Daphnia pulex: one gene and its partner. The protein of the gene in region 1 binds, or shares a complex with, the protein of each later gene. Links are inferred from orthologs where the notes say so. Each region holds a gene or a part of one and is shown on either strand. Other genes may lie near its edges. The genes, in order: disks large 1 tumor suppressor protein-like and G-protein-signaling modulator 2-like.

Evidence for each region.
Region 2: the proteins of disks large 1 tumor suppressor protein-like (region 1) and G-protein-signaling modulator 2-like are in contact, whole or in part, in a crystal structure (PDB 3TVT), measured with the Drosophila melanogaster proteins. The link is inferred for Daphnia pulex from reciprocal best matches to the Drosophila melanogaster genes dlg1 and pins. Residues at the interface, in NP_996406.1 of Drosophila melanogaster: Cys808, Val809, Pro810, Arg814, Arg817, Arg824, Asp825, Tyr826, Ile839, His842, Phe844, Ile845, Glu846, Ala847, Gly848, Gln849, Tyr850, Tyr855, Ser877, Asn879, Arg883; in NP_524999.2 of Drosophila melanogaster: Arg434, Met437, Gln439, Leu440, Asp441, Leu442, Ile443, Lys444, Ile445, Thr446, Pro447.

The regions. Positions count from the first base shown.
Region 1 is NC_060025.1:300,688-304,613, forward strand, and holds the start of disks large 1 tumor suppressor protein-like, read left to right. Parts: upstream 1-1,111; 5' UTR 1,112-1,258; coding exon 1,259-1,796; intron 1,797-2,072; coding exon 2,073-2,284; intron 2,285-3,926. UniProt on the Drosophila melanogaster protein: During embryonic development, some isoforms are essential for proper neuronal differentiation and organization. Required for cell polarity; maintenance of apicobasal polarity.
Region 2 is NC_060018.1:4,015,672-4,018,092, forward strand, and holds the end of G-protein-signaling modulator 2-like, read left to right. Parts: intron 1-177; coding exon 178-300; intron 301-486; coding exon 487-640; coding exon of another isoform or gene 641-775; coding exon 776-987; intron 988-1,089; coding exon 1,090-1,281; 3' UTR 1,282-1,741; downstream 1,742-2,421.

The DNA of each region.
Region 1 (3,926 bases):
GAACTGATTGCTAGATGGCGTGGGCGTATTGGCCGATCGATCGATTTTCTCTTGTATTCACCAAAGAATGGTGGTTGGGGGGCTCTTTTTTTTTATGATTTGTTATTATGGTTTCCAAACCAAACAAGAATAAAAAGAAAAGCCCTTCTTTTTCTTCTGTTTTGTGTAGAATATAATACCGCACTCCCCGAAGATTATAACATCCATCAGAACTGGAAAATTGCTGTCGAGATCTATCAATTTTGGGCCGCTTCTTCCAACTATATTCCGTTGGTCGCACACATAGACAGACAGACAATCCCGGGACGATCCATAACGTTATTTCGTCTTGTTTTTCTTTCTGTCGTTTTGCTCGGGAAACTAAACAGTCGAATGGGACTGTGATTTAAAAAAGGGAGAAGAGAAAAGAAAATCAGATTTGCATACACAAATCAAGTCATCGTTTTTCGATTCTTTCTAGACACACAATCTTCTCGGTCGAATGGACGTTGTGTGTGTGTTGCCGCTGTTCCGTCATCCATAACAACACAAAGTCTAATTCGGAAATGTCAAAAAAGAAAAGTCTCTTATTTTTGGGTGGGTTATTTTTCATCGTCATACATTTTTATTCCGTGAATTATTTAGTACTGCTCTGCGCTGGCAGCCATATATACATGGGTATTAGTTGGGGTGGGCAATCAAGCCCCGCAGTAGTCCGTCTTGGGGTTTTTTGGAAGCCAACAACCGCGACCGGATTAGTTTTGAGGCCCACGTCGTCTAATCCTCTGGATCCTTTTTGTTATTTATTTATTTCCAAGAAAGAAAAAGTAAATAGGGAAACGATGTGGGCTGGTGGGTTTTTACAAAAGAAGTCTGTCGACCGACTGTTGCTGTTTTCTACTACCTAATCTGTCTATATGCAGAGACGTTGATGAATGGAAGGCGAAAGTGGATTTTCAAGAGCCACTGTCGATCGAGTAAGAGCTAGTCGGCGCCGGCGCCGCTATATAGACGCTGGGTCCGTTTTGTGTGTGTTGTACATACGAGTGAGGAGGAGAAGACCAGCATCAGCCGTTAGCAGATGTATTCGCCTCTTCCGTGGTGGTGGATGTTGTTGCCTTTCTCGTCGACAGGACGGCGGCCTCGAGTGATCTTGTACCCGGATAAAATTACAAAACAAAAAGCACCACGCAGGATTATTAGTATGTCCATCAGGGTCTATGAGTGATGTGATGGCTATCGAGAGGTCCCGGACGACAGGCCCCGGTTGGTGGCCATTATGATGGCCCTGTTCGGCTTACTTTGGCTAATGCGCATCCGAGCGGAAGTGAGAAAAGACAAAAGAAAACGGTCGTCCAATCATCCCGGATTGGACGAGCATCTATTACTGTTGCCTCCTCCAGTTTCATTCGCCGACTCTAAACAACAACAGCAACAACTACAAGACGAGGAGGACGTTGTTGACGACGATGTGATCCCTCCGCCGCCTCCGCCGCCTTTGAGGCAGAACGTGCAAATCCATCGCTCCTCTTCGTCCATCCATCGCGACAGTTTCCAGCGTTTCCAGCAACATTACCCCATCTCTCAGCAGCCTCCGAGATTCTTCCAACAAGCTCAATCCTTCTCCCGTTCCGCTCAAAACTTACCGCTAAGCACCTTGGAGTGCACTTGTCCGACGGGCGGCGGCCGCCCAGCTGTCCGCCGGCCGGCTGTCCGATTTTGTGACGATCCATTCGGATTCTACTCCGCTCGTGGCGCTCAAAGTTGGAATTATTCGACTCTGCCACGCAATCGGCCGACGTCTCGATCCGCGCATGGTTGGTTATTCGGAATTCAATTAAGCTCCGGCTACTAGGATTGGTTGGCGGCCATACCGACACACACACACACACAAAAGTTTTCCAACAATGGAACGTCGACGACGACGAAATTTCCTTGTTTTTGATTACTTTTCTAATTTAAAGATATTAAGTCGTTGGCGCGTGTTGAATTTGATTGTTATGTACCTCTCAATCTATTTCAAATTGAGCGCCATTTCCATTCCATTAATGCGGCTGTCAAAACTAATTCCACGTTTTCCCCGTTGTAAATAGACATTCAGGAATTTTACGAGTTGACGTTGCTGGACGAGACGAAAACGGTGCAACAAAAGACGGCCGAGACGCTGCAAATGGCAAGCAAATGGGAAACGGCTAATCAACAGTCAGGGCCGGCAGCCGTCATCATTCCGACGCGGTTCGGCGACAGCATTCAACAACAGTCGTCATCTTGCGTCACGGCCGCCTCGACGTCGTTCCCGATGGAGGTAAGAACCCAATACAACCTTCGTTTGAATTTATTCGCAACTGTGGCGGGAGTGGGTGGCGTGTATAAAAAGCCAAAAGAAAAATCATTTTTCATTTTTGATGAAGCGATGTGGGAAACGGAACTTGGCGAATCCATGAATAAGCTCAAATAAATCTCATCCGAGTGCGTGGCTTTCTTATTCGACTCTGGATGAAACGAAAAAAAGTTGTAGGAGAATTAGGCGAATCGCTCTAGGAAAAATGTATTCAACTTTTAAAGAGCATTTTTGGGAGCGTCGGCTTGTATCAAAAGCTCCGATCGATTTCCCGCCCTCGCCCCCCCCCCCCCAACACACACACAAACGCCATGTTGATTTTGATTTCGACATCAACAAACACCAGCAGCGCAAACGTTTTCCAAAGCTGATTGAAGCGTGTTGCGGGTCGACGAGCTGAACCAACAAGAGAGCCACGGGATTGGCCGTTGCCACCTTGTTGACTTACACGTTCTCCCTACCAGATCTGAAAATCGTTGAATTTAAAAAATCATTCGCTTTATTTACCCGCCGTTATTATTGATGAATTATTCGGAAAAGAAAAAATCAACAAACTGTTGAATTAAAAAATAAATTAAAACCAACTTGCAACACGGCCGTGTCATTATCGATTTAAAAATAAAGAAAAGTTGTTGGGACGCGGAGTTTGACGCAACGGTTCGTTGCTCAATTCAAATACCCCGCCAGCAAGAGTTTGAGGATGAGCGTTTGCTCGTCGTGAGTCTTCATCTTCAAACATAATGAGCGGCTGTTCATTGACGCCCAGACGAGCTTGAACTCACCCCGCCCGGGTATTGATCCTCCTTCCCTGTCAGTGCCCGGCGCTGCGTGCAATGACGTCAACTACCCCGTCGTCTTTTAAGTCGCCTACTAAATGGACTTGGTGGAGGACCAGTGAAGATAATTTAATTTTTGAATTTGTGTTATGTGGGACCAGCACGAGACCAGTCCCTTTCTCGAGAAAATTAGAAAAGAGAATCGCTAACCGCTTGATGAGAAATTGGCAAGTGCCCCCTACTTGTAGTGGGCGAGGGTGGAGAAGGCGAGTGGCGTTGCGTCACGCACTTACCGGCTTTGAAGAGAGACAATCACGTTTTATCGTCGGCCAATGAAATGTTATTCGAGTTAAATGCACTACGCTGGTTGAAGCTCATTTGAAGGAAACACGTTTTTACGAGGCTGGATCGCTGGATAAGGGTACGAATCTCTTTGGGTTGGCCACCATCACTATATACTCTACGTTTCGTTAGTGCGTAGCCCAAGGGCGCCAACTCTCTGTACACTGGATACCGTTGGGCGGATGGGCGGACGAGAGTGTATTGTTGTTGTTGTTGTGGTTTTACCCCCCCAAACCGTGAGGTTGTTGCCATGCCAAGTAAATAAAAAAAAAACCCCTGGCAAACAAGCTTCTGGGTTTAATGGTTCAACAAACAGCGTGATAATACACTCATTTGTGACAATCACGCGGCTCTTGTGTTTGAGCTGCGTGGCGGAGGAGGAGGCCATCGATCGAGCGCCGGGGCGAGCGGCTACTTACTTACATCTCCAAATGGCATCTCTTAGACCATCTTATCTCTTCTTTTTTTACTATTCTTTCTCCACCCTT
Region 2 (2,421 bases), on another chromosome or scaffold:
CGCACCCTCGCGTTCAAACTTGGGAAGGTGGGAAATCTACCGGAGACCTTCCAAAACTTCTATTTTTTCTCTTGGCAAAATCTGCAGCATGGCGATTTTATTATTATTTTTATTACCGTCATCATTGTTTTCGTTGGTCCGTTTCAATTTCGGTTGCTTGCACTGTGATTAATCCAGCTGACGCCGGATGTGAAACAACTTCATAGCAAGGGACGCCGGGAACTGCATGAAATGGATCCTGTGTGGCCTAGACCGCTCGCTGGTCACCCGTTGGTTAGACGTGATATGCTGCCCCCGTTTGTAAGTTTCAACAATCCTCTCTTGATCCGGCTCTATCGGATGGCTCGTTCGTCTGTCTGCTTCTTTCGCTGCCAGTCTATCACAACTGTCACATCTCATAGTCTCGCTTGTTGTTTTTGTCTCTCTATTTCTGTCCGTTACTACCCTGTTGCTAACCGGAATCCATTTCGTTTTGCAATACGATAGGCCAACGGAGACGACGCCATGGATGAAGAGGAATCCTTTTTTAATTTGGTCACTCAATTCCAATCGAAACGCATGGACGATCAGCGTTGCTCGTTGGCAATCGTAGACAACAAGGAGAACCAACAAGCAAGTACACTCCCGTCGAATATTCACGGTGAGTTGTTTTTCCAGGGAAACCAGGGAGGGGGGATACGCGCTCCTGGCGTCGCCCCGAGTTTTGTTTCGTTTGCCTGCTTCTACGAGGGAGTGTGTTTTTATTTTCCTCTTTTTTCGCATATTGTTTCGATAGAGAGCCCGTCGAGATTGAAGGAAGATTTAATGGACCTGATCGCCGGCATGCAGAGTCGCCGGATGGATGAGCAGAGAGCTTCACTACCGCGACTACCCGGCCTGAACAACGCCAATCCAGACATTTTACGTCGGCTGTCTGTGGAGCCAGCCGGCGAGGATGCAGCCGCATTGCCCGATGAGAATTTCTTCGAAATGTTGATGCGGTGTCAGGTTAGATATTCTTCCACCTTTTTGGCCGAATTTGTACTCGTTTCTTTTTCACGAACGACTTTTTAAAATGATTTTTTACTTTTTATTTTTTTCATCGTGTAGGGTACGAGGCTGGAAGATCAGCGCAGCGCCTTGCCGGATACATCGCCTCGGCGGCACAGGGGGCCCACCATGCCCGACGAAGACTTTTTCTCGTTGATAATGCGACTCCAATCGGGTCGACTCGAGGATCAAAGAGCCGAAGATCCTTCACCTCTCATCGCTGCCAACGGAGCTGCCGCCACTTCCTCCTAGACGGAACGGTATCCCTAACCTCTCGGAATGTTTTACCCCTCCTCGCCATCAGCTCTCATCCATGATCGAAATGTATGTTGACAGTCTCTATCAATACCCTCTCTCCATTTTTATTCGTTTCAAAAAATAGCCATTCCCTTTTTCTTTTACTTTTGACCGAGTTTTTTTTTCCAAAAAAACTCTTCCAACTTCACATCCATTTCATTCGCTCTCTGCCTCCTCCTGGAAGTAGAAATCGCGAAAATTAAATCTCACCATTCCTCCTTTGGGGAACAAACAAGGGGAAGGGGGGGTTGATTGTCCGTTCCCGCATGGTTGCACACGAGTTCAAAGGAGTCCCTTTTTTTTTCCGAACATGGCAGTTCTTGTCTTCTCTTTCTATTCCGTTGGCAGAGCATTGTTCCTACTCCCAACGTGAAAGGCAGTTAGAAGACAATAAATAGGCCTATTCCTCGTTTTATTTATTTTTGTCCCCATCTTTTTTTTTTCTTTCTTGGATCTGCAGTGGAAAGTCATCATTGTTGTCGTGAAAACGAAATTGTTTGTCATGGAAGTTTTTAGAGATGAGATTAAGTTGGCGACAGTGTGAGCAAGAAGGGGAAAAAAACAAAATTCGATTTCTCGTTATCTTTTCACTTTGGTGCTTGGTGGGCTCCTTTCCTTCGGGATATTTTCGTTTTATTATTGTAGCGAAATGAAAATGTTTCTTTTTTTGTCGAGGACTGACGTGAAAGAGATGTAAATGCAGATGCCTATGGGGGTGGGGGGTAAACGAGTCGTGTTTTTGTTTCCTCCCAACATAAAAAGCGAGGGCCAAAAGGGGATTGGAACGAGAGCACTTTGTTCTATTTTTCACGCGAGTAAAATGAATCCTGTTTGATATTCAACATCTTCCATACGCGTGCGCAAACTTTTATTATTTTCTTGGGTCTGTCTTGTTGCACGGCACCGATTCTGTTCCCTCCCAAACTTCCAAGGCCCACCCCTCCTCCTTTATTGAAATGTTCAACTTGAATTCTTGTTGCCCATTTCTTTTTTGTTGTGTTGATACAACATTTAGACGTGCCGCCATGTGTAATCCAAACCAGCTGCGTCGTTCTCAGTCCAACTTCTCTTTCTTCCTCCTCTTCTGTATTTCTC